2 linked regions of the Cricetulus griseus genome follow. The protein of the gene in region 1 purifies or fractionates together with the protein of each later gene. This does not show direct contact. Links are inferred from orthologs where the notes say so. Each region holds a gene or a part of one and is shown on either strand. Other genes may lie near its edges.

The links.
Region 2: the proteins of Ubxn2a (region 1) and Ppp1r11 purify together in Homo sapiens (affinity purification with mass spectrometry; 3 studies listed by BioGRID and IntAct, counting the BioPlex papers as one, with this or other methods). This does not show direct contact. The link is inferred for Cricetulus griseus from reciprocal best matches to the Homo sapiens genes UBXN2A and PPP1R11.

Annotation. Positions count from the first base shown.
Region 1 is NC_048600.1:15,646,920-15,662,931, reverse strand, and holds the end of Ubxn2a (UBX domain-containing protein 2A), read left to right. Parts: intron 1-918; coding exon 919-1,060; intron 1,061-2,831; coding exon 2,832-2,938; intron 2,939-4,559; coding exon 4,560-4,697; intron 4,698-5,491; coding exon 5,492-5,650; intron 5,651-8,470; coding exon 8,471-8,660; 3' UTR 8,661-10,400; downstream 10,401-16,012. Other genes in the region: Mfsd2b (major facilitator superfamily domain-containing protein 2B), read left to right, coding at 13,461-13,529. UniProt on the Homo sapiens protein: Acts to repress the ubiquitination and subsequent endoplasmic reticulum-associated degradation of CHRNA3 by the STUB1-VCP-UBXN2A complex in cortical neurons.
Region 2 is NW_023276806.1:228,766,855-228,783,335, reverse strand, and holds Ppp1r11 (E3 ubiquitin-protein ligase PPP1R11), read right to left. Parts: upstream 9,357-16,481; 5' UTR 9,199-9,356; coding exon 9,130-9,198; intron 7,668-9,129; coding exon 7,559-7,667; intron 7,230-7,558; coding exon 7,027-7,229; 3' UTR 6,077-7,026; downstream 1-6,076. Other genes in the region: Rnf39 (RING finger protein 39), read left to right, coding at 1,095-1,457, 3,241-3,263, 3,475-3,566, 4,811-5,391; Polr1h (DNA-directed RNA polymerase I subunit RPA12), read right to left, coding at 11,603-11,627, 14,866-14,975, 15,153-15,253, 15,985-16,120. UniProt on the Homo sapiens protein: Atypical E3 ubiquitin-protein ligase which ubiquitinates TLR2 at 'Lys-754' leading to its degradation by the proteasome.

The sequences.
Region 1 (16,012 bases):
GCCGCCATGTATAGGAATCATCTTTCTAGCCCCCTTCTGATGTCTTTAAAAATTATTTTTAAAATTCTGGGGCAAGTGTAATAGCTCCGTTGTTGTCGAACTTACAACCTGAGTTTGATCCCCAGGACCCATGGTGGAAAGAGTAAACAAATTCCCATAATTCCCACAAGTTGTTCTCCAACCTCCACAGTGCTTCTACACATGTACACCTACACACATACTCATACACATAATGCAATAATGAACATCTAGTTTGGGGGCTCTTAAATTAATTTTTTAAGTTCCAAAGTAGTGGATTTATTATGTCATTTTCGTATTCATTTCACTCTGCTTTGTTATCATTTGTGCCTTCATACTGTATGGATAAATGTCAAGGGCCCTGATAAACCCTAAAATACAAAAGATACCTGTGACTATGTTTTTTTATTGTCTACAGTGGCTACCCAGTAAGCAATGGCTTTCCTGCAAGGGCTGCTGCCTGAGAGGATTCTGTTCTCTCAGTCACCTACTCTTTCAAAGCTATTTAGGGAAACTTTATCTCATCTAAAGAACTCACAATTCAAGGTTTGAGGTTGAATTCTGCTGGCCCAGAGAGGCTGAATAGCAAGGAGCTAACCTCCTTTGCTGGCATAGTCTCTCTGCCCCCACTTAAAAACCCTTGCTACATGTGATTTCTCCTTACCACTTCCTGTCAGCTACTTGCTGACTCAGCCTCCTGCTAGAAGGTTAATTTTATTTAATCAAACACATCTTTGAACAGATAGATATCCCTTCAAAGCAAAAAGTTAGCCTTCCCCAATTGTGTATAGAACTGGTCTATATTAAAACATGTTTAATGACTTCCCCAGGATTACGTCTTCATTAACTTAGAGGTTAAGCACTTGATTTTTATTTTATTTTGCTTTATTTTACTTTTAGGGTTTGTGAAACAGGACCTCCTGACAATCAATCCCTCAATGATAATCAACAAAGGGACTGTGAATATTTTGTTGACAGCCTTTTTGAGGAAGCAGAGAAGGTTGGGGCCAAATGCTTGTCCCCCACTGAACAGAAGAAACAGGTAAATGTTACTTAGTGACCTCTAGGAGGATCCCTGAAGTCAAAACTACTTTTGTAATAGTAAAGCTATTATTTACCATTTTCATTATGTTGAATTTGCACAGGTGTCAGAAAAGCAACAGTGAGTAAAGTTGTTGGCATCTGAGCAGGAAGCAAAACCAGCAAAACCAAGTTATAAACTGTTATATTACTTACTTGAATTTACAAACCAAATAAATGATGCTTCTAGTTAAGAATGTCTGTGATGGAGCTGAGGAGGTAGCTCAACTGAGAGAATGCTTACATAGCAGACACAAAGCTCTGCATTCAACCCAGCATTTTGTAAACTGGGCATGCTGATATGAATCTGTAATCCCGACACTCAGGAGATGGAGAGTCAGGAGAACTGGAAGTCTGAAGTTGTCCTCAGCCACATAATTAAGTCAAGGCTGGAATATTCAGGATGCAAGGTTTACGTGGCAGGCACTTTAAATGTGAGGAGCTAGATTGGGACTCCCAGCTGCCACATACATAAAAAACCAAAAGACTCATTCCCAGGGCTGGAGATGCAGAGAGACAGACCATCCCTGTGCTGGGTGGCTAGCCAATCTAGCTGAATTGGTGAACTCCAGGTTCAGTCAGAGATATTTCAGTCATGATAGTACCAATTATAAACATTGATGAATTATAGTTTAAAAAGTAAACAAAACCTGGAAATGGAACACATTTATATATTCATTTATTTATTTATGGTTTTTCAAGACAGGGTTTCTCTGTAGCATTGGAGCCTATCCTGGCACTCGCTCTGGAGACCAGGCTGGCCTCGAACTCACAGAGATCCGCCTGCCTGCCTCTGCCTCCCAAGTGCTGGGATTAAAGGTGTGTGCCACCAACACCCGGCTCGGAGCACATTTATTTATTTTATGTGTTTGAATGTTTTGTCTGAAGGTATGTATATGTATATCTACCACATGTGTGCTGGCTGCCAACAGAGAGAGCCAGTTCTCCTGGAACTAGACAGAGTTACAGATGTTTAGTGGAGCAGGTCCTAGGAACCAAACCAACAACGAGTACTCCTAACTGCCTAGTGGTCTTTTTTTTTAATAATTTATTTAACTTTATATATATTGGTATGAAGGTGTCAGATCCCCTGGAACTGGAGTTACAGACAGTTGTGAGCTGCCATGAGAGTGTTGGGAATTGGACCTGGGTCTTCTGAAAGAGCAGCCAGTGCTATTAACTGCTCAGCCAACTCCCTAGCCCTTTATTGGGATGGGATAAAATAACAATTAAAGAAGACACGGACTTCAAGTTCTGGCCTCTACATGCAGCATACACACACCCATTAGACTTGGCTATTTTGGCAGGCATTTCCACAGAAAAATTAAGTGAGCCTGGTACTTCAAGGGAGACAACTTAAAACTGTATTTGTTACAAATGCAAAGATTTTACTTAGTCAACTTTTAACCAGAATAGGAATTTGAAGAAATCTCTTTCATGCATTTGACAGCTTTTCAAACTTACAGAATTTCCTCTTGATGTTAGTGTTATTTTAATAGCTATAATGTCTATCAGATAAGGAAATACATTAGCATTTAGATTTTCAAGGCTTCAGGAACCACTATTTTCTAAATGACTAATATGTTATTATAAAGTCATTCATTAGCTGGGTGTGCTAGTGAAAGCCTGTGAACTCAGGTAGGAGGATCTGGAGTTCAAGGCCAGTCTAAGCTATTTAGTGAGCTCAGGATCAACCTTTCTTACAATTCATGCCTGCCTTTACTGCCTTTTAGGTAGATATAAATATAAAATTGTGGAAAAATGGATTCACAGTCAATGATGACTTTAGAAGTTACTCTGATGGTGCAAGTCAGCAGTTTCTGAACTCCATCAAAAAGGGGTAAGCAGGATATATATATATATATAGTAGAAGGGTACTTCAGGCTAGTTTCTTATGAAAGAATCATTGATCTTTATCTTTCTCCCCATCCCCTATCCCTCCCCTCTCACTCTCCCTCCAGGCTAGCCTTAGACTCAACAGTACACTGCCATCTTGTTTTCTCAGAACTGGGATTAAAGACCATGCCCACCCCAAACCCCTTTTGTTGTTGTTTTACTTTTTTTTGAGACACAGTTTCTCTGTGTGACAGTCCCTGCTATCCTGGTACTGTAAATCAGGCTGGCCTTGAGCTCACAGAGATCCTTTTGCCTCTGCCTCCCTAGTGCTGGGATGAAAGATGTGGTCCACCATGCCTGGCTTGTAGTGCCTTTTTTATTTTTTTTAAATTGACATTTTCCTTAGAGAGCCATAACTAATTTTTTTGTTTTATTGGTACTGGGTCTCAAAATACAATATTGGCTAACCTGGAGTGTACTATGTAGACCAGACTGGCCTCAAGTGGAATTATGGGCATGCACCAATAAGCCCAGGATACAGCTATAATTTTGAAGTTTAGGAATTTGAATTCTGATCCATCAAAGTCTTGCCACTTATTCCTTAATGCCATACAAATAAGTACATATACGTGCACACACACAATAAAACTTTTTAAATTAGCATCATGTTGCAGTGGTGGCGCACACCTTTAATCCCAGCACGTGGGAGGCAGAGGTAGGCAGATCTCTGAGTTCGAGGCTAGCCTGGTCTACTAGTTCCAGGACAGGCTCCAAAGCTACACAGAGAAACCCTGTCTGGAAAGAAAAACAAAACAACAACAAAAAAGTAGCAGTGTGTAATCAAGTATTATGAATTTAATACTATTCTAGGTAATGCTATAAAACTGGACATGTATCTATTTATTTATACATATAAGACACCCCTGTGTGCTACAGTGTCCATATTGGAAGTCAGAAGACACTTGGCAGGGGTTTGTTCTCTCCTTCTACCATATGGGTTCCAGAGATGAAACTCTTATTAGGCTTGGTAACAAGTACCTTTACCAGCCCTATATATTTTTACAAGGGTCTGTTGTAGTCTAGGCTGACCTCCAACTTGCTTTGTAGTCAAGGAGAACCTTGAACTTCTGATCATCCTGCTTCCATGTCCCAAGTGCTGGGATTGTAGTGTGTACCACCATGGCTTGCTTATATGCTGCTAAAGACCTGCACATGCTAGCCAAGTGCCCAGCCAGCTAAACTACCTCCTTAATCCATACATTATACTTCTACAAATCATGTAGTTCTTTTGGCATATGGAATATGTATCTCAGAAAAAGGGAAAATAGGAACTTCTTTTTTTTTTTTTTTAACTACTCATATTTACATATCCATTCCCCATTCCCTCGTCCTCCCCTCCTCCCATGTTCCCCACCCACACCCCACACCCCACAGGCCTCCCCACTTCTCCCCAGGGATAGTGAAGCCCTCTACCAAGGACCTTCAAAGTCTGTCATATTGTTTGGGGGAGAGTGTAGGCCCTCCTTGCTGTATCTGGCCTGCAATAGTATCCCTCCATAGGGAATGGGCTCCCAAAGCCTATTTGTGGGAAAACAGGAACTTTATCGTTTTCTTTTCTTTCAAAGGGAATTACCTTCAGAACTACAGGGAATTTTTGATAAAGAAGAGGTGGATGTTAAAGTTGAAGATAAAAAAAATGAAGTATGTATGTCTACAAAGCCTGTATTCCAGCCCTTCTCAGGACAGGGTCACAGACTAGGAAGGTAAGTATGGTTATTGTGACAGACGTTTTCTCATTATTCTAACCATATAGAACTTAGTATTTCTGCTGTTGGAAGTGATTTTCTTTTTTTTTTTTTTTTTTTTTCCTGATGCTGGGGCTCTAACCTAGGGCCCATAAAACATGTAAGGCAAATAGTTAAAACTGAAATAAATCCCAAGCTCCCAAATGAGATTTTTTTTTTTTTTTTTAATGCTGATTTGGTTTTGGTTAGCTTGTTTTAGGCAGGGTCTTCATATGACCAAGGATGGCTTTGAACTTCTGATCCTTCTGCCTCCACCCCTCTAGTGCTGTGATTATAATGTTTGCCATATGATTGGTTTTATGGGGTATTGCAGATTGGACCGAGAATTTGCGTATGCTAAGAAGCATTCTAACAACTGAGTACATACCCAGACCCTTATTTTCATTTATTACTAGTAGGAAGGTGTATACATTTTCAGCTTTACATATGGAAACTTGTAGGTATACCTTTTAAAATACTTTGCTTTTTTCCCCTTGATTAATCAAGGGCTAAACTCTACAGAGAAAATAATTCTTTTAGAGACTCATCCTGTACCCCAGGTAATGCTAATTTACATGTCATTCTGTAAGTTTACAGATTAATTGGGTATGCATAATTTTATTTAACTCCTAGAGTATATATGTTATGAACATAACTAACATGTTTATTACAAAGAGAGGAGTTGTGACTTAAAAAACTCTTCCTAGAAACTGAATGTAAAATTTTTATAATGAGAAAACATGTGTCTGACTTTATTATTCACATTTTCTTAGTGCTACACCAAAAGTCATTTCTAAAGCAAAGAGTATTGAAGTTGAAAATAAAAGTACTTTGTCTGCTGTTCCACTGAACAACTTGGAGCCCATCACCAGGATCCAGATCTGGTTGGCCAATGGGGAAAGGACTGTCCAAAGATTTAATGTTTCTCACAGGTCAGTCCTGATTCTGTGCTTGACTGATTTGTTTTCCAATTTTAAATTTTGTCTCTTCTTTTAAGTTTAGATAACACTGATTTTTGAGAACTAATGAAGGCTTTTTAAAATAGCTCTCCCAAGTTTAATGTGTCAATCAACATAGGATTCTTAGACTCAACTATGTTTAGTCAGAGGTATTTTTTGCTTTGTTTTGGAGTTTTTAAAGCCAGTATCATGGAGCTGGAGAGATGGTTCAGCAGTTAAGAGCACTGACTGTTCTTCCAGAGGTCCTGAGTTCAATTCCCAGCAACCACATGGTGGCTCACAACCACCCTGAATGAGATCTGGTGCCCTCTGCTGGCATGCAGGCAGAAGACTGTATGCATAATAAATGAATAAATAAAATCTTTAAAAAAAAAAAAAAAAAAGCCAGTATCATGTTGACTGGGGCTTCCATACTGAAGTAAGTTCATTCTCTCTATTATTTCATTGCCGAGTACCTCATATCCATTAGGCATATATGCCCTACCAGTAAACTACAGCCCAGACCAATTTTTGTCTGTCATATTCTACCATACATAAATAATTGTTTATCCATTTTATCCATTGGCAACAATCCAAGTTTAAATTTATTTATACAGATGTGTCAGTCCCCCTGCTGCACAGTACAGTCACAAAATCCCACAAAACATGATACTGAGTTTTAAAAAGTTATAGAACAGGGCAGGGTGTGGTGGTATAGACCTTCGTGCTGGGGCTTGGGAGGCAGAGGCAGTAGATCTCTGAGTTAGGCCAACCTGGTCTACATAGTGAGTTTCAGGCCAGGCCAGCCAAGGCTACACAGTGAGACCCTATTTCAAAAAAAAAAAAAAAAAAAAAGTTACATAACAAGTTCGCTATAATTGTACAATCTTTGTCTTGTGTTTTCTGGTATGGCTTTGTGGATCTCAGCTGGGCTCATTTCCAGGTCACTGACTCTGGGTCTGTTCTTCTGTCTCCCACTTTCTTAAACCAACAAAGGAGCTGGCCCTGTTCTTGTAGCAGAGGTAGAGGCACAAGATGCAGTTAGTCTCCTTTGAGTAAGAGTGCTCTTGTGTTACTCAGTATTATACTCTACTGGCCATGTTCTGTTTGTACAGAAGACGGTCTCTCTGTCTTCTCTCCCCTGCCATGGTGTCCATTTTAAATCAGATGCTTGCAGCTGCTCTGGACTCTCCATTATGTGTTTGTTGTTGTTGTTTGTTTGTTAATTTTTTGAGACAGGGTTTCTCTGTGTAATAATCCTGGCTGTCCTAGAACTCTCGTTGTAGACCAGGTACCTCCCAAGAGCTGGGATCAAAGGCGTGTACCACCACTGCCCAGGTGATCTGTTGGTTGCCCAGGTTTTCTTGGTTGGTTTGTTTTTATGTTTTTTTTAACTTTATTTTATGTGTGTTGATATGAAGGTGTCCAATCCCCTGGAACTGAAATTACTGATAGTTTTGAGCTGCCATGTGGGTCCTGGGACTTGAACTCAGGTCCTCTGAAATAGTAGCCATCTCTCCAGCCCCTGATCTGTTTATCTTTATGCCAGATCCACATTGTTGTTGTTTTCTTTTAATTATTGCTTCCCCACATACACAGCCAATGCTCAGGATTTAACCCAGGGCTTCCTTCATGATACTACCTAGCACTTTCACTTTATCAGTTACAAGAGGATTATACTAAAATCACCAATTAGAAATGTGTCTATTTTACCTTTTAATCTCTTAGTGTGTTTGCTTGCTTGAGGCATTTTCTTTCCTCCCTACATCTGTGTTTTTATGAGCTGGGGTCTCACTCTTTTTCCATGCTCAGTTTTGAACTCCACACCCACCCTGCTCTGTATATCTTAAGCTATGTCCCCCTGAGGCAAAATTCTTGTATTTTTCTGAATAATGTACCTCATAGGGGATTAAAGCATGTCTTCCTCACCATTAGTAGGCTAAGATCTCTAGTGTAAAATTTTTAGCTGGCTTACAGTGTTTATTAAGTGGATGGTTAGTCAGCTTGCATGGGCCATTTGCTTGTTTGTATCCCAGGTTGACCTGGAATTTTCTATAATTTAGGGTGACTTTCAGCTCACAATACTGCCTTAGCCACCCTTGTGCTAGGAATACAGGCTTGTACCACCATGTCCATATAGGATTTGTTTTTTTGTTTGATTTGGGTTGGGTTGGGTTTTCCAAGACAGGGTTTCTCTGTGTAGCCCTGGCTGTCCTGGAACTTGAATTGTAGACCAGGTTGGGCTCTGCCTCCCAAGTGCTGGAATTAAAGGCATGTGTGTCGTCACCACCCGGCCTTTTTTGAGAACAGGGTCTTATCTTACATCCCATTGTGTAATTCAGGCTGGCCTCAGACTAATGGAAGTCTTCCTGTCCCACCCAACCTTCTGAATGATTGGATTGTAGTCGTGTACCACCCATCATACCAAACTTTAGACTTTCCTTTTACCAATTGGAATGCTTGTTCTGTGTTTTTCAGGGATATATCTTTTATTTTTATTTATTTATTTATTTTGGGTTTTCGAGACAGGGTTTCTCTATGGCTTTGGAGGCTGTCCTGAAACTAGCTCTTGTAGACCAGGCCGCCTTGCATGCCTTTGATCCCAGCATTCAGGAGGCAGAGGCAGGCAGATCTATGTGAGTTCGAGGCCAGCCTGGTCTACAGAGCGAGTGCCAGGATAGGCTCCAAAGCTACACAGAGAAACCCTGTCTCAAAAAAAAAAAAAAAAAAAATCCAAATATCTATACAAGTTGATGCTACCTTAAATTAGCTACTTCAGGTTTTCATAAATTAATAGTTTGTGGTATTTTGCAGGGTGAGCCACATCAAAGACTTCATTGAAAAATACCAAGGATCTCAGAGAAGCCCCCCGTTTGCCCTGGCAACAGCTTTTCCTTTCCTCAGACTTCTGGATGAGACACTCACATTGGAAGAAGCAGATTTGCAGAATGCTGTGATCATTCAGAGACTCCAGATAACTTCGGAGCCTTTTAGAAAACTCTAACAGTTTTGATTTTTGAGAGACAGGGAAATGATGGTTGGAAGTGGACATGCAGAAGTGGGAGACAGAAGACAGTTTGATTGAGCTTGAGGTTTGAGTGCTGCTTAATTCCTTATGAGGGGCTTAAATAATCACAAGTTAGAGAATAATGTATAGCTGGAAACCAGTTAATGTACATTTCTCAAAGGCCACTCAGAAAAAAAGTATTTTCAAATACTTATTATAGTTAACCAATATATATTAAATAGCTGTATCATTAATCTTAATGTGTTCTAAAGTAGCAAAATATCCACAGCATTAGCATTGAAACATTATTTCCAAACAGCAGATTATTAATATAAATGTTAGCTATCTCAGTTTTAAATAGCAACACTTAAAATATTGTACATGACTTGTTAAAAACACCAATGTAATTATTATGTTGCCTAAGCCTTCTCAGATTTCACTCTATGATGGCAAGAGATATTCAAATATTAATTTGGCAATAGTATCCAAGATATATAATATTTTAGGAATAAAATCGTGTAGCTTAGTACAATGTCAGTATTGGGTGCCTACATACTTTTCTATACCTTTTATATGTAATTTTATGGGCTGGGGATGTAGTTCAATAGTAGAGTATTTGCCAAGTAGTTATGAGACTTTAGGTTCAGTCAGTCCCCAGCCAATATATATATATATATATATATATATATATATATATGTGTGTGTGTGTGTGTGTGTGTGTGTGTGTGTGTGTGTGTATTTTAATCCTTTTTTTAAAAGGATGCATATTTATTTAATGTATATAAAGATAATATATTAAAAAACGAGGAAAGGGAGTACCAAATTCAAGAGAAAAACATAAAATTCATACATTGGGCTTGAGGGCAGGGAATCATTAACATATGTAAGCATATAAAAAAAATAGCATACATGGCAGCCCCTTCAAGGGGGAATTTGTTCCACACCCAGCCCCCAAGGCCAGGGGCACCAGTCCAAAGGACAGAGAGAGGCCTAGGAAGAGGTCTTGAGGCAGTTGCAGACAGTTTCGAGCTCAACAGCTTGTCTACCATGGTGCAGGCAGAGCGTAGCCAGCTAGCCAGTTCCTTGCAGCAGCCATATTCCTCCAGAAGGCTTAGGCAGTATGTGCAGAAGTCCGTCTTGTCGATGTAGGTCACTGCTGCCATTGGAGGCACAGGATAAGTTTGGTGTGGTTCTGGAAGAAAATCTGTACACTGCTATTGCTGAGGTGCGGAATGATGGCCCTACATGTGCAGAGCCTTGTTTGCAGATAGGGAATGCTGGCCAGCTCATCATTTCCCCCGGGGTGTGATGCTGGCCCCTGCCTTCAGCAGGTGATCACTCATGTAATGGGCAGAAATACGTGAGGAAAGTGATCTTCTTCAAGGAGTTAGGGTGGGAGCTCATGGTGAGGTAGGACTCCGTGCTATCACACTATGTACTGTATGTAGGCTGTCACCATCATTGTAGAGGATGAGGTATGTTGAGTCATTGAAGAGCACCGCCATACTGCAAACCAAGAATTCTCCAAGAACCACAGTTCATTCTCTTCCAAATTTCTCCCCCAAAACTAGGAACTTATTTTCAGCTAGTTTTGTAATTAGCCATTTGTTTGCCACCTCTCAACTAGAATCTATTTTGTCATGTTATAAATTTGTGAATGTTTCTACATTTCTCATGTATCTACCCCCCCCCAAAAAAAAAAAAAAACAACAACAACAACAAAACAAAAAAGCCTCCTTTGTGGATTTCTCAGTTTCTAATTAACAGGATTTCTTGTGTGTCTTGTAGAGTACATGTCAGGGAGAGGTTCCAATAGGAAGAACAGTTATCAGCAATAACTCATGTTTTTTTAAACTGTGAAAACTGTTAGTATCAACAATGTTCTTAAAGATAATCATCTGATAAAGCTTTTTACTTGAAATTTAAAAGTTGTGAAGTGTCTAGAGTCCTTACCACAGGTTGACTTTGGAAAAATAAATGCCAAGGGAAGTAAAACTTGAAATAAGTGAACATTTTAGGAGTGGGAGCAGTTTGACCCAAGTCATTGCTTCAAATCTGTCACCAGTCAGTTATCTTGCAGATAAGGTGGACATACAGAAGTACATATCTGGTATACTTCATGTTTCCAAACATTGACAGTGCAGTATGTGTATTTATTTTAGTGCCTTAATATGTTGTAGAATATTATTTTAAGGTGTGTTACATTTGTTTATGCTCTGGAACATTTGTTTAAGGATGTAAAGATGTGTTGCTTTTGTTAATGCTGCAATTGTGTAACTCTGTGAAGCTGTGATTCTTTGCCTGTCTAAAACACCTGATGGTCTAATAAAGAGCTGAACAGCCAATAGCAAGGCAGGAGAAGGAATAGGCAGGGCTGGCAGGCAGAGAGAATAGATAGGAGGAGAAATGAGAAAGGGGCAAGATAGAACAAGGAGAGAGGATGATGTCAGGGGCCAGCCAGCCATCCAGGAGTAAGAGTGAAAGTAAGATATACAGAAGAAAAAGAAAAGGCCCAGAGGCAAAAGGTAGTCTGGATAATTTAAGAAAAACTAGCTAGAAACAAACCAAGCTAAGGCCAGGCATTCATAAGAAAAAATAAGCCTCTGTGTGGTTTATTTGGGAGCTGGGTGGCAGGCCCCGCAAAAGAGCCAAAGAGTAAACTACAAACAACATTAATATATTTTTGATGTGATATTTTGCTAATGGTTAAATGAACTATTCTAAGGTAAAGTGCTGTTCATTGAAAGGATCTGTTAATAATTTACATTTGTTATAAAACAGTTACATGTGAATGCTTTTGTCATTATTTGTCATTCGGTTTGAGAATCAATGATTATTTGTTAGATGCCTTTTCTTTAACCAGTGTTATTTTCATTTCATGTTCAGAAATGTGAAAAAGTGATATTTTAGTACCAGCCCAACGATTGTATTTGTTCTTAAGACATAGCATGGAGGTTTATTAATATATTCCTTTGTTCTTCTTTGCCAAAGAACAAACTGCTTTTCTAAAAAGTTGTTCATCACACTAGAATCTCAGAAATGACTTACTCATTACATTTATATTTTGCTCTTTGTCATTTGTTTTAAGTTGTTTTGGCACAGACAATTCATACTCATAATTCATACTCACTATAGAAAGTTATAAAACGCCAATTCCAAAGATAATCTCAGATTAAGTTGACATGGGTTCTCAAGATAGCTGTGCTGCCAGGCACAAAAAAAAGTCAATGATTTTTTAAGTCTATTCAACTATAGTATTCAACCAGGATATAATTTTGGAAATTTGCATCTCCTTGAAAAGGAACTCTTGCCGGGCGTTGGTGGCGCACGTCTTTAATCCCAGCACATGGGGGCAAGAGGCAGGCAGATCTCTGTGAGTTCGAGGCCAGCCTGGTCTACAAGAGCTAGTTCCAGGACAGCCTCCAAAGCCACAGAAAAACCAAAAAAAAAAAAAAAAAAGAACTCTTGAGTGTGGTAACGCACACCTTTCATCCCAGCACTCGAGGCAGAGGCAGACGGATCTCTGAGTTTGAGGCCAGCCTGGTCCACAATTCAAGTTCCAGGACAGCCAAGGCTACACAGGGAAATTGTCTCTAAGAAAGACATGCACAGCCATAGCCAGCACGAGGATGTTTTTATGTCCTTATAGTTCATCTGTGTATCTTTAGAGTATCACATTATGAATTTTAAAATGAGATTTTTTTCTGTTATTAAGAGCTATTTGTATATCCCAATATAAGTACTTTATAATTTGTGAATATTATCTCCCACACTTGGGAGAATATGATTATCTTGCCACGTGTGACTATTTGCAACACAAAGTTTGTGCAACTTGTGCTTGTGTCCTAAGGTACAGTTGTCTAATATGTACATTGCACCTATTGTTGCTGGGCTTAAGGTCACAGCCTGTGTCCCCAACAAACCAGGTTGAGCCGTCCATTCTCAATACACTAACTCAGTCAAATGCATGGTGAAAATTCAGTATGAGCACGTTGAGGACAGTAACCAAAAGATCCGATGACCTCCAAAGTCCAAGAGGGAGTAGAACTCCTCAGTCGGGCCAAGGTGGACTCAGAAAGACAAGTAGAGATCCTTCTCTAACAAGTTTCTTCAGGCTGCCCAGGGCCTTTCTCCCAGGAGTTGCTTGGTTTTGTTGTATTGTTGCCGGAGGAGGCTCTGACTGATTTCTGGGGTTCATTGTTTCAGTAGTCTGGTAATACAAGGCGGGCTGGTTACACTATTTTGACAGGAGTTTTATGCAGTGCGGCCCTTTCCCTTTTAAAGCACTTCCTGGGATATTGCACCTACCACACTTCACTCAGGCCCGGACTTAGTTGTATAGACAAACCTACCAGTTACCTATTATAGGAAAGCCTGGGAAATGTGTTGTTCGGGCTGAAAAGCCCACTCAGCTATAATTTTAGTCTGAACAAGTAGAGTGTATTGCTTCATTTAAAGGCTAAATTTATTTGCTGGCTTTCACCCAAGGGGTGGGGGGTGGGGTTAGCCGAGGGTTTCTATCTACAACACGTCACGTCTGCCAAGAAAAGAAAATCGCCGGTCCCCGAGGACTTGCCAGCTTTTCCTAGGTGTATGACGATAGGCGAGCTCCTCCTTGGAGAAGACAACCGGAAGCTTGGAGGTCCTGGGTATCCCCAAGCTGGGCAGACCACCGCAAAGGACTGCTGGGGCCCCAAGGGGCCGGCTGCCTGCACGCCCAGGGCCGCGCCCACTCGGCTGGACCCACCCCAAGCACAACAGAGCCCAGAGCTTCGCAGTCAGAGGAGCAGCCCTGAGATGTCATTGCCTCAGGAACCCACCCAGGCGGCCCGGGTCGCAGAGCCTCACACCCAGGAGCCAGGCTCGGTGAGCGCCAGGAGGGCGAGAGGGAAGCGGGTCTGCATGGCGCTCCCATGGGCAGGGTAGAGAGGCACCTGCCACAGCCCTTCATCCAGTTGTTGGGCAGAGTACAAAGTTTGGTGCCACTGGGATACCCCGGAGACCTGACATGAAGTAACAATTAGACAGGAAGGACCAGGTCTCTAGTGTCTTGATCCCAGGCCACTGCAGGTTTTCCCGGAAGCCTCTTCAGCGCTGGTAGATGTTAGTAAGGGTTCTGCCTCCTTCCACAAACTCCAGGCGTCTCTTGTGGACTTAGCCTCCCTCTGAAATACTGCTGACAGGCAAGGAGGGGCTTTGGAAGTATGGGGAGGGGGCAGGTGGGAACCCAAGGTGTTCTTAAGCCCTCTACCTTCTCTATGGGTAGAGGGGGGACTGAGGCTGAGGCCAATGCCAGAGAAGCATTAAGAGCCTCGGGCTGTGCCATACTCTATGGCTGCAATAGACTATATCATCCATCCTCTATCTTGATTCACTGTTTATTATCAGGCAAAAGAAAGACATCCCTCAACCGGGAGACCTCTGGTCCTTAGCATGCCTGTAGACCCAGATCCTGGCTAGGGAGCCTGAGGCAGGAATATTCCTGGAGCTTCTGGGAAGCATAGTAAGACCTTAATAATCTTAACAATCAGAAAAGTGGATGAGTAGAGATGTATGTAAGCCAGTAGCAGAGGGTTTGTCTAGCATGGTAAGACTCCTTCCTATACTGGGGCAGGGATGGGGTAGAGGACCCTCAGGGAACTCTCATTTTCCAGGAAAATTCAGGGAACTTGGGTGATATTACCGGCAGAGAGAGAACCCAGACTGCCATGAAGCCTCACTGTTTAATTATCCTAGTACTATGAGGTGTGTATATCTGAATTTTGCTTGTCAAAAAGCTGAGGCTCCACAAGGCTCAGTCCCTTACCTAGGTCACACAGCCAGCTTGTCAGTTCGTAAAATGCAGATTCCATGGACTGATGGGGTAAGGCGATCAAATGATCATTCCAAAGACTGCAAGACTGTACCACCTCAGTTTCTGCTGGAATTTGTTTGGTTGGCCCTCCCTTATCTAAAACCTCCATAGGCCCATTTGGGGGGGAACGAGACTCATTATGGGATGGGAATCCACTCACACTGCATTCTGCCAATTAAGCTTTTCTGGAAGTTGCAATAATGTCCACACCAATGTCAGAAAAAGAATGCACCCAGCCTTGAGAGTGGTTTTTCTCCTGGGGTAGGAAGCATGTGTGAAGGGTGTGATAAACCTTATCTGGGAAGACCTTCCCTTCCATGCAGCCTGCCTGTGGTGCCTACAAGATACTGCTCGGAGTCCTAGCTCCTTTCCATCTTGCTTCTGTCCCCAGGCAAAAGATGAAAAAATGATTCCTAGCATTATTTGAACATAGAGCACTTTACAGTGTCCTCCAGGCCATTGATTGTTTTAAAAACATATTAGCACCTACTGTATGCCTAGGTACTAGAGGCACCAGAGCGACTGAGAAAGTTTATGCTCTCAGTTTATATGGTGATGGAATAAAGTAGGAATAGCTGAGAGTTTACCAGGCAGTCTGGGCAATTCAGGACCTGAGTTGTCAGGGAATGCCTCTGAGGAAGGAATATTTAAGCACCTGAATGGCAAGCAATCAACTCTTGAAAGACACAGAAGAACCTTCTAGAGAAAACAAAAAGAAATACAAAGACCAGAGGAAGCAACAATCTCAAAGGTTTTGAACAATAGGAAACTCCACCAAGAAAGCTATTTCAAGTGAGGGAGTGGGAGCAGAGTGGGCTCGTGAAGGCCATTTCGAGGACTTGGGTTTGATTAGACCGTAAAGACTGACAAGTTATTGGTTTTAAGCAGAGAGCAGACTTAGTCTGATTTATGTTATTCAAAGGGTACTGGCCGCTGCAGGGGGAGTGGACTAGCAGCCTAAGTGTGGCAGGGGAATTGGAAAACAGAGGAACCAAGGATGACCAAGGTTGTGGTCTGAGCCACTGAGCAGATATCAGTGTTATTTAAAGCCATGTGGCGAATGGGGTTTGGAGCTGGTTTCCACAGTGGGATAACGGGAAGGAGCTGCATTTAGACCACTTGGGGCTGTGAGATGGCAATCAAATGTTTATGACTTGGCTGGATAGCTGAGGGACTGTGGTATTCCATGTTCCAGGCTCTTAGACTATTTTGTGATACTACCCAGTTGATAAACAGTCTTTCCAAAAAAAGGGTGTAAGTGGGGTTTGCTGGTTATCTATGGTGTACACAATCCCATCACAGCTGAGGCCAGAGGCTCAACAAATGGCTTGCAAAAGTCACAAACATTGGACAGCTGAGCGGGTAAAGGTACCTGCCACCAAGCCTGATGACCTGAGTTTGATACCGAGGGTCCCCATGGTAGAAAGAGAGAATACATTGTGACCTCCACATGTGTGCTGTGGAACATGCACACCCCCGCCCCCCACAAGTAAAT
Region 2 (16,481 bases), on another chromosome or scaffold:
AGAAAAACAGGAGAGAGAAGAGACAGTGGTGAAAATGAGACAAGGGTACAAGGAAAGATCAGGAAAGGACAGAGGGTGGAGCTCCCGGGATCTGCAATTTAAACTGAAAACAAACAAAAACAGGCAAGTTGATTCCTTTTAGGAGCCCAGTCAGAATAGGCATTGGTCCACTTTCGAGGATCCAGGTCTCTGGGCCTCAGAGATCTGAGACAGTTGAAACAGGTAATTGTCAGGTACAAAGGAAAAAAGGGGGAGGGGGCTTGAAAATAAGAACACAAAGTAAAAGGATAGAGAAAATAAAAACTTTGTGAGAAGCCGGAGCCGGTGGGAGGTTGAGGAACCTGAGAATTCAGAACCCTAACCTGAGAGGCAGGAGAGTAGGCGCCTGCTTCCAGCCCTTACCTCAAAGCCTGCGTGTCCCCAGACCTTAATAGGCAAGGCAGGAAGATGAGGCGCCAGAGTGACAACCATATGCCAACACTCAGAGGCCTGCCAAAGCCACACAGTCCAGGACCTGAGCTTCCGGGCCCCCAACCTCCAGATGTAGGTGTGCCAGCCACCTGGGATGAATCATGCCCTGGCGATGTGGGCACTCATGCCAAGAGTGAGCCTGGGCACCCTGCCCACTAAAGTCACACCACAGGCTAAGGGGCAGAGTCACGATCTTCAGGGACCCTCTCACGGGGGTGGGGGGCTACCAAACTCAACATTTGCCACCTTGGCCACAGCGCATGCCTTGATGCTCACCTTCTAGGTTCTAGGACCTAGGTGTCTCACTCTCTACACCCTGCTTCCCAAAATCTTACTAGGAAAGCGGGAGAACCAGATGAGGCATTACGCAAGGTCTGATGTTTACCTCCTGCATGGGGCCTCCTCCCTCCCTATAAAACCTGACGTGGTGAGGAGACGCTCTGAGTCCGATCTGGGTAAGCGAGGCAGCCCCGAGAAGGGTAGTTAGGAGGCGCAAAGTGAATGAGGGAGGCGCAGCGAGGGGCGTCGAGTCAGCACGCAGCGGAGGTGGTCCGCCGCCACCTACGCCCTCGGGGGCGGCTGCTACGGTCGCGGGCCAGGGTGCGTCCAGACCCCTGCTTTCCATGGAGGCTCCCGAGCTGGGCCCGGGGTTGGTGGAGCGTTTGGAACAGCTGGCGACGTGTCCGCTGTGCGGGGGCCCCTTCGAGGACCCAGTGCTGCTGGCGTGCGAGCACAGCTTTTGCCGTGCGTGCTTGGCGCGCTGCTGGGGTCGCCCGGCAGCGCCGGGCTCGGAGGCGGCACCCCCTTCCTGCCCCTGCTGTGGCCAGCCGTGTCCCCGACGCAGCCTAAGGTCCAACGTGCGTCTGGCAGTGGAGGTGCGCATCAGCCGTGGGCTGCGTGAGAAACTGGCGGAGCCGGGGGCCCGGACCGGGAGAAGACGTGGGGGCCGCATACCCACCATGGGCTGCCTGGACCCGCACGGAGAGGTAAAGCGGTCATCCTTCTTCGCGGGTCCAAATTGTTGGTGAAGAGGTTTGTGGGTGTCCTAGCAGAGGTGGACGCTGTGCTTTTAGCTCTAAAGTCCTAATGGGAATGTAGGTAGTAGACAACTTGGCACCGGGAAAGCGGAGGCAAAAGATTGCTGCTAATTTAAGTCCATCTTGGTACACATAGCGAGTTCCAATTCAGAGATGGCTACATAGAAAAGAGAGAGGAATTTAAAATAAAAATTTTAAGAGAGAGGAAGGGAAAGGGCGAAATGGAGAGAGAGAGAGAGAGAGAGAGAGAGAGAGAGAGAGAGAGAGAGAGAGAGAGAGAGAGAGAGAGAGAGAGAGGCCAAGTCTTAAGTGAATAGTTTGAGAAGGGAAGTTAGAAAAAGTTGGAAGGAGTTGACACTTGGTTAGGGGAGGAGGAGGAGGCTGGACATATAGCTGCCTGAGTCTTATCAGTGGAACTGGAGGTCAAGAGGCAGAAGCATGCTGGTGGCAGATAGGACACTGAGCCCCCTGGAGATCTCAGAAGCCTCCTGACAAGACTATGGAGATTGAAGTCGGGACTCATGGGTGGGAGCCAGAAAGCGGGGCGGGGGGGGCGATGCGAGCAGACACCCAGGTTAGGCAAGGAGGAGCCCAGGGAGGGTGGAGATAGGACCGAATGAACACTTACTGGAGTCAAGGTTGAGAGTGGGTGCAGAAAAAGCAGAAGTGTAGGAGACTGGCAAATGGGGTGGGGGCGTGGTAGGCAGATCCAAACGCTGCAAGTGAGGCAGGGGTTCTCCTAACAAGCTCTAGCTGAGCTGTAAGTTGTTATTGTTCTCAACTCCTCCCAGGTCCCCAGGCAGGGGTGGAAACAGGCGGAGGTTAGGTCCGGGTGAGCAGCTGGCAGGCCTCTGGCTGGTAGCCACGTTGCAGCCCTACAGTCTCCTCACTAGGCCCTCCCTGGGCCCCTTTGGACACCAACCACTCCCATTCCTCAAGGGGATCTCATCTGGTTTACTTCCCCTTAGCAGCCCTCCTGCCCTGGGTCCTGCTTCCGCCCTTCGAAGGCCACACAGATTTAATTAGTCTAGGTGTAATTGCCATCCTTTTCCCCCTTGCCACATTACTGGACTCTACAGCCATCCTCACTGGGCAACAGAAAAGAGGGATGGAGGAACCCCAGTGCTGGAGGGGAGAGAACCCAGCGCCCTCTTCTGGCTGCCGTGGTTCCCTCCGAAATCTGTAGGGCCTCTTGGGACACTTCAGAGTTCAGGGGCCTGGGGGTAGAGATGACATAAAACAAAGAGGCCAATAAACGCCACTGAGCTTTTAAGACAAGAGGGGAAGCAGCTTTATTGTGAGGCTTTCATATAACAACTCAACTCAAGGAACATGGGTGTGTGTTCACATTTTATGGAGAAGAGATGGGCATTTGTCTGGAACACACTCAAGGATAGCACTACTGAAAGAGAGTGAGAGCGTGGGCCTGGGGGATTAACACGAGGTAAGAAGTAGTTATGTGGAGGCCGAGGAAGGGAGAAGAACCCTTGGAGGATGGAGTCAGGAGCATGAAGAGAAAGTGATTTTGGAGTGAGCAGAACAGAAGGCCATGGAAGAAGACGGGAGAGCAGAAGAGGAAAATGCAGCAGAGGGAGGAAAGGGACATCATTTTAAGAGGTGGGAGGGTATCAACCACTCAGAGGGTATCAACCCTCCCCTGAGGTGGAGGGGAGGATCCTCCAGGGTGAACCTGATGCTCACACCCATGTTGTTTTTCTTCTGCCCATACCAGGATATGAGGAAGACATGGAGACGGTGAGTTCCATTTTTACCGTTTCTTCCTTTCAACTGCCTGCTGCCATAGCCATCACCTCCTCTCCAGGGCCAGATCTTTGTCTCCACTTACCAATAGGCTTTCTGGAGTATAGCCTCACCTGTTTCTGTTGAGAGCAAGTGGGTTAGGATTGGGGTCATCCGAACTAGCATCAAGACACAAGAATGCTGACAACTTCCTTCATTTGTCCAGATTTGATGTCCCAACACCCAAGTCATCTAACTCAGGGGAGGAGCTACCTGAAGATTACCCTGTGGTAAAGAACATGCTTCACAGACTGACAGGTGAGGAGGGAAGGGAAGGGGAACGTAATGTGTGCTGTTTGCTTCCTTTCAACTGTCAGAAATGGTGAAGCCCCTTTTGGTATCGGTTTTGATGTCCTAGGGCTGAAATAACAAAGTGCCAACAACAGGTGAACTGAGCAACCATCCACACCTCAAAGTATAGAGGTAGAAGTGTGAGGGCTCAGGAGAAATCTGTTGCATGCCTCTCCCCTGGGTTCTGGAAGCCTCAGCACTCCTTTGGCCCATATATAGTCTTACCTGGGGTTCCTTCTGTGTGCCTTGTCTGTGTCTCAGTGTCTCCTCTCCCCTTTAAGGTAGTGGTCATACTGCATCAGGGCCCACCCGAATATTGGTCTCAGTATTTACCTGATTCCCTTTGTGAAAATACTTTTCCCACGTAGAGTAAATTCAGAAAGTTGGGTAACAAAAGTGAAACTTCTCCAGTCTTTTTAAACAGTGTCTTCCTGTGTCTCCCAGGCTGGTGTAGAAGTCAATCCCTTCCTTCCTGTCTCTGCCTCTAACCTTCCTCTAATGTGCAGAGGCTACAAGTATGTAACACCACACCTGGCGGGACGCAGGATTAAACTCAGAACATCATCCTTAATTCCTCAGATCTCGGCCACTTTCCCTCATCCTTTTGTGGACACCTAAACGGTACCCGATCGCTCTCAGGAACCCCTGCTTCTACCCTCTCCCTTTGCTCTTGAGAAGGGTCCGGAGAGTCCAGTATCTCTTACCCCTTTGCCCATTCCCAAGTTAGCTCTCCATTTGTTTTTAAAGTGCCTGGAGAAGATGCTCTACCCCTTAGTCACACATTCATCTCACTTAATCCAAATTACTTCTAGCTCCTAATCCAGAAGTGTTTCCTTAAAGCTCCCCTCCCCCACTCCCACACCTATAAAGTCAGTGGCTCTTTCTGGTCCCTTTGGCCATCTCTGTCTCTCCTCTGGCTGCATCTCCTATAGAAACGGGCCTGTCCCTTCCTGCCTCTGCGAGGGTGAGTGGCCTGGTTTTACTGGATACCTTAGAGTCCTCCCTTTGCCCCTCCTTCAATCACTTTGGTTCCTATCAGGTTTCAGCCTCCCTCAGAAGTCTTGCTGACCTGGCTCCTGCACCCCACCCAGATGCTTAGATTCAAGGGTTTATGCCTTTTGTTTTGTTCTTAAGACAGGGTCTCTTCTCCACCCTTCTTGGCCGGACTCAAGAAACTTATCATGTGGTGTTCCCCGGCCTCTCTTTTGCAGCTGATCTGACACTTGACCCTCGCACTGCACACCGTGGTCTGCTCATCTCCTCTGACAACCGAGGCGTGAGTCTGGCTCCACCTGGAACGCCAGAGCCGCTGGACAGCCCTGCCCGCTTCGATCAGCTCCTAGCCGTGCTGGGTGCCCAGGGCTTCGCGTCAGGCCGCCACTGCTGGGAGGTGGAGACCGTGGAGGGCGCGTCCTTCAGAGACTCTGCCTCGGAGAATGAGGATGCAGGAGAGAGCTGCTATGCCGTGGGCGCGGCCGGGGAATCGGTGACGCGCAAGGGCCTCATCAAGCTGTGCCCATCCGAGGCTGTTTGGGCCGTGGAGGGCCGTGGCGGCCGCCTATGGGCACTCACGGCCCCAGAGCCCACTCTGCTAGGCGGAGCCAGGCCCCCGCCTCAGCGCATTCGCGTGGACTTGGACTGGGAGCGGGGCCGTGTGGCCTTCTATGACGGCCGCTCACTGGACTTGCTCTTCGCCTTCCAGGCGCCCAGACCGCTGGGGGAGCGGGTCTTCCCGCTGCTCTGTACTTGTGATCCCCGCTCCCCACTGCGCATCGTGCCTGGAGAAGGCTGAGTGTCTGGGTTCCCTACCTCCTACCCTAGTTTAGCCTGGAGGCTACTTCTCTCTGGTGCAGAAATCTCCACCTATTTCAGTAATCTTGTCCGTACACCTGTCGCAGCAGGAGCATTAATAAGCACCCTTTACCCACTCACATTCTTTCTCCCACAGCAAGACCTCAAAATGGCTTGTACATCCGTGCCTTTAAGCCAGTCTGGTCCTGCGTCTCCATGCCCAAACCCAACCTTTTCTTTGAGTTCCCTTTCTGTACCGTTCCAGGCAGGGATAGGGAAAGGCTCTATACCACCAGTACTGGGAAACAGTCCACATTTATCGCCAATCATAAAGGGCTAGGGCCTGATCCACAGTAGGAAGGCTGGAGCCTGAATTCCCCTCAAGAAAAATAGGTCCTCCTAAAATAAGATGATCAACTCATAACCTAAGCCCTTCAGACCCAAAACCTAAAATATAAATTTTGGGATGTGTATGCAAGCTAGTCCACCCTCTATACTTCTTCTATGACTGTTTTCTATGCTCATAGCCTCTTCCCTTTAAACATCCTCTTGGAAATCCATCTTGCACACAAAAGAACCGACGGTGCTACCCCCCTTCTCAATCTGGGAGCAGTCCAGGCATCCCAAACATCCTTGTATAGTTTCCCATCCTCCCCATGTGTATAAATGGACCTGTATTTAACACATTGCGCAATGTTGGGTTATTTATTTTGTGCATCTGTGGCAATAAATGAGATCTCAGTGGTGGTATGGGTTTTGCTGATCTCTGTACTGTGCACAGCTAGAGGCCTGGAGGACAATACCCAGATCCCAGCACCAGTTGGGGAGGGCTGAGAGAGCAAGACACCTGGGCTGGCAGAGACATCAGGCAGGAAAGGGTAGGAGTGTACTGCAGGGCCTGTTCCCTCATCTCTGCTTTCTCCCTCTTTCCTTTAAGGGACCCAGGCCCCTTAGACAACAGCGATGAAGCTCAAAGATTAAAGGCTGAGAAACTTGTAGGCTCTAAGTCATTGGTCTCAGCCAGCTCAGAAATGCTATATTCAGGTCATGACTATTTTTGGGGTCCACTTTCCATTATAGGTTCTGACCCTTTTGAGGGTCAGAAGGGGTAAGAGCAGAACCCTATGGTGTCCCCAAAACCTTAGATTCCCACAGGCAAGGACTAAGATTTAGGATAACTTCGTAAGTGGAAGAACTGTAAGCCAGGATTAATATGCAGAGCTGGGGTGCAATATTGCTTGGAATCTGACTGGGGTCCTGGCAGTGAAAGCTGGGATGGTTGAAAACCCAATTTAAATGCTTGGGACTCAAGCTAAGGGTGCAGGTGGCCAAGATAACTGGATCCCAGGACAGGTGTTTTGGCAGTGAGAACAAAAGGGACAGACTGAGACCAAGATGCCTGAATCCCAGGCACAGAGCAAACTGTAGGGAAGGAGAGGCTGGGAGAACCCAGAAGCCTGGGTTCTGGAACAGCAGCAAGTCAGAATTCCAGGATCTCTATCCACCCTCCTCTTCCTCTTCTCTATCAGGCAGGAGAGGGAAGGAGGGGGCAGGAGAAGGGATCAGACCATGGGTTGAATCCCCATGTAGCCAGATGGATACATTTGGGGCCAGGCAGACACATGGTGAGAGGGATTTAGTGCTGCATAGGTCCTGGAGGGGGCTGAGATGGGTCAGGAGGCTGGGGGGGAGTGGTTGGAGTGGGTCCTGGGGTTGAATGACGCCGTCCTTTGCGGTGACCCCGCACACAGTGTGTGTGACCACAACCTTCTTCTTCATCCTCCTCACTCTCGGTGGAGCTCTCACCAAAGGCCCGAGGTTTCTCATAAATACAGCAGCCTAGATGTAGGGAGAGGAAATCAGTTAAGAAGGATGAGGAACACAATGTCCAGTCTGTTTCATTTCCAACAGATTTATGTGCAATTTTTCTCCCACCTTCCAGAATCCATGCCCCTTAAGCCTCCCACCCCAGGGACTCTGGCATCCACACTCTTTGTCTCTTCAGAGACCCAGAAGCATCTTTCTCCCACTCCGACATGGCTTGCTCCACAGACTTGGCAACTCTTAGTTTTAGCTCTATCCCCATCTATTTTCTTTCCCAAGAAAGTAAAGAGAACCGTAAAGGTCTGGGAGGCAGTGGTGAGGGCTGCTGGGGCAACAGCACTCACATTTTGATGAGCGGCGCCCCATGTGTTCATTGTCCACAGTGTCACTTGTCCATTCCACCTTTTTCTCTGGCTTCCGTTTCCGAAGTTTAATGGTTAGGCTCCGATTCTCCTGTAAGGTTAAGAGGTATGGGCCCATCTAGCTAATCTCCTCTTGACCTTTCCTGTTTCCCAAGGTACCTCCTCTTTTCTCCTCCCTTGCTCAATCAGTACCATACACCAGGCCACTGGAGGAGCCGGGTGCTGGGAGCCAAAACAGACCATGTTTTTAACCTTTTCATGAGGAATGTGAACTCCTATTCTTGAAAACTACTAGTATGCAAAAAGGACAGTCCTTAACCTAGGGAAGGTGCCGGTAAATCTCCAAAGGAAAGCACAACCCTCCCTGTTTCTTCATCTTCCTTCCAAATCATCCTTGGTGGTGCCAATACCGGAGAGTTATTTTCTCAGTTCCCTGTGACTGGTCTTTGGCCTTCCTTCCTTTCTCCACACCTCTTACTTACGTTCCCGCTAAAGAGATTAGAAGCATGTGAGCTAAGCATATAGGAGACGGAGACAGAAGCCAACAGAAGCCAGCCTCTGCAATGTGGTAAAGCTTTTCCTTTCAAAAACAAAATAAAAATTTAAAAAATAATAATAAAGCAGGGCTTCCGAGACAGTTCTGTTGGTAAAGTGCTTCCTGAGTTTGATTCCCAAAATCCATATTTAAAAAAAAAAAGTTAGGTGTAGTGGTGGTGCATGTTTGTAATACCAGTACTGGAGATGTGAAGACAGGCAGATCTCTTGACAGCCAGTCTAGCTGACTTGGCAGCTCCAGGAAAAATGATTTTCTCAAATCAACAAGCAAAGCAAAACAAAACAAAACAAAACACACACACACACACACACAAACAGGTACACCGTGCCTGAGAAAAATCTAAGGTTGACTTCTGCCCCTGCCACACCTGAACAAGCAAAATAAAACAAAAATCCAAAACCCTTCTTCTCCAAAGAAAGCCTTCATTCTCTAACATCCTGGCATCTCTGGCAATAATTACTAAACTCCTTCAACCCAGACATTACGCCCAACCCATCTTCCTCCCCTTGAAAGCAATTTAACTTGCTTTTGCAAAATTCTACTTGTTTCCTTATTTGCGTCTCTCCTCTCTGATCTGTCAAAATACTACCTTCACCTTATTTTGTTTCCTTATTCCCTGCCCCCCACTTTAACACGCACCCATTCCATGACTATCTATTGGTTAAGTACTCGTCCTTTACGTTTGCCTCCAAAACCATGCTTTCTCAAATAGCCTTTCCTTCCCTCCCAGGACCTTCCTTGCTGCCTTAACCCAGGTTCCGTTTATTACGTACACAGACCACCGCATCAAGCCGTGACACCTATACCCTGACTGTAACGTCCCTTGACTGGTCACTATCACGATCTGAGCCACTCCAAGCATCCCCAGTCCCTGGCGATCTTCCCAAGAGTCATCCCCACATGTCCCAGATCCCAAACCCTCCAACTTTCCAAAGCCCTACTTCCCTCCCAGTTCCTCCCAGACCCCTAAATAGGCCCCCCCGCCCGCCTTTCTCACGGGCTCGGTTGTCACGGTAACCGTTGTCTCAGTGACGGTCTCACTCAGCCCGGCCCCTGCCTCCGCCATGGCTAAAGCGAAAAGCCAGGAAGCGGGATGGGACACCCTTCCCTTTTTCTGCGCTTCTGGGATCTAAGAGATCCGGTACTCGATTCAGAGTAGCGGCCAGGAACCTCTGGATTCTTATTCTTCCCTTCCTCCAGGGCCTCTGCTTCCCCACCCCTGGGCATAACCTGTCCAATCCCACTTCCGGCCTTTCACTTCCGGGTGTGACGCATCCTGCAGAACCCAGTTTCCCTTCACCGGCACGGCTCGGGCAAAAGCGCAGGCGTCGCCAGATCAGTTCCGCCGTATTCTAACACTGCGCAGACGCCGCAGGTAGCAGAAGTGACGTCACTGTGGGGCGGGGCCAGCTCCTTCAGGGCCTAAGTTCATTGGGGGAAGAGTCAACTCCGGAGCTGCGGAGCGCAGAGGATGTGCGATCTGTGTGCTCAGCACCCCTAACCCTGTCAGCTGTACCCATAAACCTGGGCGGGAAAGTAAGTGGGACTCGGCCAAGTTCCATTTTCTTATCATTCTGTCGAGAAACCGTTTTCCAGGAGCAGGAAACGCACTGGGTTCTAGTCCTCTCTCTGTAAGTCTGGGAGGGAGAGCACACTAAATTTGGAATTTTCCCAGCGTGGTAGGTCCTAAAATAAAAGTATTCCCTGTTATTCTAGTTCCCAGTTTGAAGAATACCAAGGCTAGGCTGTGGGGGGCGCCGCAACAAATTCAAAGACATCTGCTTAAATTTTGTTGAATCACTTGCAGTGATATATTATTTATGATTTATTAAAGCCTGCCTGAGGATTCAGAATCAAAGTCAGCCACAAGCCATAGAAGCCAGGCACACACCTTTAATCCCAGCAGTCAGAAGCTAGGAGGTGGTGGTACACACCTTTAGTCCTGAAACTCAGGATTAAGTGGTAGATGGATCTCTCTGAGTTCAAGGCCACCCAGGGATACATGACATTGAATCGGTCTAAAAGAGTGACAGATAACACACCTTTAATCCCAGCACTAGAGGGGTATAGAAGATAGAATCAGGGTCTTCAGGATTCAGTAGGAGGCATTCATTCTCCAGCCACACTGAGGAGAGGCAGCAGTTTGAGGCTTGGTGAAGAGCTCGTGTGTGGATCTGCCCTTTCAGCTTGAGCTTGAGGTGAGAGCTAGTGGCTGGCTGCTTTGCTTCCCTGATCTTCAGCTTGAACCCCAATATTTGTCTCTCGGTCTTTTATTTTTTTCGTGCAACACTACCTATCCAAATATTTTGTTTCCTTACAATGAGGAACTAGATTTAGATAGAATATATGCATATGTCTAACAGCTTTTTTTTTTTTGCCTTTGTAATGGTTAACATTACAATTAGAGTTACTATGCTTGAGAGACCAAAAAAAAAAAAAAAAAAAAAAAAAGCCTGTTAACGTGTAAGCCCCTAGCTTGTACAGGCTGTAACCTACCAGTCCACTCCTTTCCCCCCCCCAGATGGGGTTTATCTGTGTAGCCCTGGACATCCTGGAACTTGCTCTGTAGAACAGACTGGCTTTGAACTCAAGAGATTTGCCTGCCCCTGTCTCCTAAGTGCTGTGATCAAAGTCATGCACCACAACCACTCTGTAAAGACTATTCTTAAATTGACAGATCTTGTCAAATTTGCCATTTTAGCAAGACAATAAGTCATAAAACTAACTGCTATTTCTGCTTTTGTAATCAAACTTGCTTACTCTGCTCAATGGCTAGGACAACTGTAGGACATGTATGTTAAAATCAGACCTGCCTACACATAGAATACATGTAATCCTGCCATTTTTTGACTTTATAAGCCTTGGGCTGATGTAACTAGAAGCTACATTTTGGGAGCACTTTTGGTTGGAGTCCTTGTGCCATGAGTATCCAGTATCAGTATTTAATAAAGCCTCTTATTAAAATTTATTTATGGTCATGGTGATTCTCTTAGTGACCCCAGACACATAACAGCTTCATTCCAGACTCCATTATTTTATCCTTAGTTTTGTTGTTGTTCTTTTTTTAAAGCTATATTCTAGGTCATTTAAATTTCCTTTGGAATAAGACAGATTATTGTTATTTTTGGTTTTTAGGCATCTTGTTAGGTAGCTTTGACTGGCTTTGATTCATTATAGTAAGTTCCCTGTCCTTAAGCTTGAAACCTTCTTGCCTCCACCCTGAAGTTCTGGGATCACAGGACATATGCCACCAGCCTGGCCAGAATAAGACTACAAATAACACACATAATGCCAAGGTTCCATAGAAAATATAACTTTAGTAAATTCAACTAAGGGAAGGAGTGCTCTGGGGGTGATGATCTTATGCTGAGAACAAAGCACCAGCGGGGAAGGAGAAGGCAACAAAGGACCAATATCTTCACCTTCCAAGAGGAGGAATGGTGTTGCTGAGTTGCCAGGGAAAAAAAAGGTCAAGAATCTTCCTTTTCCTGAAACCTAGGGAGAAAGAAAGGACTTGTTATATTTAACCAAAATGAATTTCTAGCAGTGTAATATGAGATAGAAACCCCTGGAGGACTTTTTCTTATGACAGGGATGGGTAAGCTTCCTCCCAACAAACCTTCAATTCTAACCTCCAGGTAACTAATATCTAATTATTTATTACCTTGAAGTGTGAAAACTCTTTTCCAGGACAGAAAAAGCACCAGCCAAGAAAATGAAAAAGATAAACTAGACCTCATAAAAATTAGAGACGTTGTAGCTGGACATCTGTAGAACCCTACAGATGCAGGGAATGCAGCATTCACCCAGACCTTAAGAAACCAGAAGTTCAAATTCTAAAATCATAGCATACAGTCAAAAATTACAAAGTTAAGAACTACCATAAGAAAATCAGCAGAAATGACATCAGACCCACAAAAAACAGTGGCTATCAGAATTGCCACACTCAGATAAACATGTTTAGTATGTTTCATATACATTTAAAGAACAAAAGGAGCGATTTAAAATCAGTGGGAGCTGGGGAGATGGCTCAGTGGTTAAGAGCACTCATTGCTCTTGCAGAGAATCCAGGTTTTATTCCTAGCACCCACATGGTGGTTCAGAACCATCTGTAACTCCAGTTCCAGGGAATCTGAAACCCTTTTCTGACTTCTGTGGGTACCAGGCATGCACATGGTGCACTGACATACATGTAAGCAAAATACTCATACACATAAAATAATAAATGTTAAATACAGTAGTTGGAAGTTTTATAACGACTAAAGGGCTACATTGTTCAGATGATTCATGAGGTTTGAAAAGAAGTAGTAATAACCCAGGGGCTGAGGAGAAGGCTCAGCAGGTAAAGTGTCTGCTGCACATACATGAGGACTTGGGTGTGGATTCCCAGCACCCATTTAAAAATAGAGAAGATTCTGGTGTCACGGTCCCCATGTACAGAATGGACTCCACTCAAGCTGGGAGGCATGGGACAATGACAGACAGGAAGAACGTCCAAAGCTCACTAGGTAGCCAGCCTAGCCTGAGCTCCAGGCTCAGATACAATGCCTCGAAAGATGAGGTGGAGAGCTGGAAGTGGTGGCACACACCATGAATGCCAGCACTCTGGAGGCAGAGGAAGATGAGTACCTGTGAGTTTGAGGCCAGCATGGTCTACACAGAGTTCCACACCAACTAAGAATATAGTGAAACCCTGTCTCAAAACAAAAAGGAAGGCTGAGATAAAGACACTTGACGAAACTACTCAATGCCTAACTTAGGCCTTCATATGCACACTTGCACAGATAGGTGCATACATCCACATGAACACCACACAACACTCTCACCACCAAACACACATACAAATTGAGTCAAGATTAATGACCTACAGGAAAGATCTGGAGAAGTGCCCAGAAGACAGTATAAACAGAAATGGGAGGGGAAATACAGAAGACAAGATGAGAATGTGAAAGTCCAGTAACTAATTTGAGGACATGGGGAGGAGCAAGATTGGAGTGAAGTACCAGCTGATAAATTTCCAAGGTTGATGAAATATGAATCAATTCTCAGCTTCAGAAGCCTAATGAGAGGCTGGGCATATAGTTCCGTTAGTAGAGTGCTTATGTAGGTCTCATGAAACTCCGAGTTAGATTTTCAGCACCATAAGAAACATCTGTGGTGGCACACACCTGGAACCTGTAATCCTTGTGTTTCAGAGGTGGAAGCAGGATGATTAGATCAAGAAAGAAAGGGAAAAAGTCCATTTAAAATCCTAAACAGGGGCAAATAGAGAAGAGCTCAGGGTACAGCTGAAGGTACAACACTTCCTAACCATGCCCGAAAACCTGGAATAAAGCTGGCAGTACCCCAGGAAGAAGGAAAACAATAACAAAAAGCAAAAATACAGAAAGCCACATGCTAATGTTCTGCATCGGAACTACACAACAACCAAGACAAAGATGGTTTCAAACTACTCCCACCGTGTTCTTTGAATCATGCAAGATTAACTACGTAAGGTCACACCCCTTTTGCGGTGGAAGATTTCATCATGTTGTGCCACTGTGCAAACCGATGTCTGTGTTCTAAAATTTCCTTTCTAGTAGCTTTTTGTGTGTTTTACAGACTCTCTGTGTAGCCCAGGCTGGCCTTGAAAAATGATCCTCCTTCGGGTCACCACACCCAGCTTTCCTTTTACATATCTTTTTTTTTTTTTTTTTTTTTTTTTGATTTTTTTTTGAGAGAGGGTTTCTCTGTGGCTTTGGAGGCTGTCCTGGAACTAGCTCTTGTAGACCAGGCTAGTCTCAAACTCACAGAGATTCGCCTGCCTCTGCCTCCCGAGTGCTGGGATTAAAGGCGTGTGCCACCAACACCCGGCCCTTTTACATGTCTTAAAAGATTTAGTTCACCTCCTGAACCAGGATGTCAGTTTGGAGGTCTGGTTAATCTATGGGGCCTCTGGTAGTGGATCAGTATTTATCCCTAGTACATGAATGGACTTTGGGAGCCCATTCCACAGAGGGATACTCTCTCAGCCTAGATACATGGGGGGAGGGTCTAGCCCTGCTCCAAATGATATGACAGACTTTGAAGATCCCCCATGGAAGCCTCACCCTTCCTAGGGAGCAGAAAGGGGATAGGATGGGGGTTGGTTGGGGGGGGAAGGGGAGGAGGGGAGGGTGAGGGGACTGAGATTGACACGTAAATGAAGCTTGTTTCTAATTTAAAGAAAAAAAAAGATTTAGTTCACTGGCTGTCACAAGAATAACGGGGCTATTTATTGAGATAACTCAGCAGTTAAGAGCTCATACTGTTGCAAGGGATCCAAGTTCAGTTCTCAGCACCCACATCTGACTGCTCGTAACTACCTGTAACTCCAGTTCCAGGGGATTTAATGTTTCTGACTTTGGTGGGCATCTGCACATTCAAGTATAAAAACACCTACAAATTAACTTAAAAAAAATAAACATCTTTTTAACAAGTCAGGTGGAGTGGCACATGCTTGAATCTCAGCATTCAGGAAGCAGAGGGAGGAGAACTGCTTAAGGTTTGAGGCCAACCTGGGTTGTATGGTTGGGAGTTCAAGGCTAGTCTGGGTATGTAAGTGAGTCCCCTGTCTCACAAAACACAAATAAAAAGGGGCTACGATCCTCCCTATTATGGACTGGGCAAAATGACATAACTTAGTACAAGTCTGTCATGGCTTTTGTTGTTTGTAAACACTGAGAAGGGGCAGAGGGAGAGAAAAGATTCTCACTTGCAGTTGACACAGGTATAGAAGACAGTCTGCCCTTCATCAGCTGAACGCATCTGTCTGGTGTGGTACGCCATTCCCTCATGACCACATCGAGGGCATCGCCGGTCAACCTAGAAAGAAACAGATGGTTATGGAGACCCAGTAACAATAACTCTGCTTTCCTACAGCAATTAGACTGTTACAACCCGTCCCCACCTCCACCACGGGCATTCTGCCGGAATGGAGTGCAAAACCAGATCTCCACAATCACCTTCTCATTGCTCTTTGGGAGCCACTCATCAGCTTACCACTGGTCCCTGGGATTCAGGTCCTTCCTCCACAGACGTAGGTATAGCCGCCCCCAGTTTGTGGAACACGACTGAGGTCTTTACAGCCTTCCCTTCGAAATCTGCACAGGAAGTAGAAAATTAGTAGATATGGCAGAGGAGGCAACGAATCCCAGCAACACTTGCAGGTGGGTCAAGCGGGAGCCCACAAGTGACTCAGCCTCCATCTGGAGTCTACTCTGACTTATAGGACATTAGAGTTAAAGCTTGCGTGTTTCAGTCTCCTTGAGAGACGCGCGAAAGTTCTGATTAAGCTCGTGGAAAAGAGCATAGTATCTAACAAGCTTCTGATGCCAGCTGAAAGGCACACAGAGATAGGAAATGAAGCTTCTCGCTGCTAGCAGGGCTCACCTGATGGTGAGCCCGCCTGCTCCTCTAATTCAAGGGCAGTACATGGAGCTAGTTAACTGATTACAGTGCTCCGTATTCTGCTTTGCCTCTAGTCTGTGTATATGCAGAGTCTAGTTTAAACTCGGGGATGTCCGGTGTGCTGAAAGTCATGGACCGGGCAGTCCTCCCGTTTCTGCCTCTGTTTCTTTAGCTGCCGTTTCTCAATTCCCATCCTCCCCCTACTCGGGTGACCCAGCTGAGTCTTTGGAGCAGGCTCCGCCTGGGTCACATCCTCTCTTTGGGTGTCTTCCCTGGGTCAGTCTGACTGACAGATTCCAGTTCTGGGTCTGGAGTCCCTAAGCCCAACCAGTGCTGAGGTCATCCCACCCCCATCACCCCCCCACGGACCCTTCCATTGGACCCACCCTCGGCTGCGTCCAGCGTGTACAAACCCCTCACCCACCTCGCACGTCTATGGAGAAGCCACAGCGAGGGCAGACGACAGCATCCTGAGTTCCTGGCAGCGGCAGGACCGAGCCGCAATCTGGGCAGAAATCCAAGTCGGACTGAAAGCTGGAGACGGGGCTGGCCAGCTCCATGGCGGACAAGAGCTGGAAAAGGAAAGAGAAGTTTATGAGTGAGACGCAGGAGTCTCGTCTTGGAGGTGGGTCCCCATCGCGTCCCGGGCGGTCCTTACCCGAGTCCACCTCTCACCGGGTAATCCGATGTCCGGCACCTCAGCCCGCGGGGAAACTTGTTCGGCGGACCGGAAGCCACGAGAGCTCAGATCCCCAGCACCGGGCTAGAGCGGCCGACCGCAGGGCAGCGAGTGCACCAGGCGGGCTAGAGCGCCCTGGCGTCCCGGCGGCCGTTGGGTCGTGACGTCATAGTTCGTAGCGCTCCTGGTCGAGCGACCTGTGGCGGGGAGGGAATTGGAGGCTGCACACGGCCTGGAGGCTG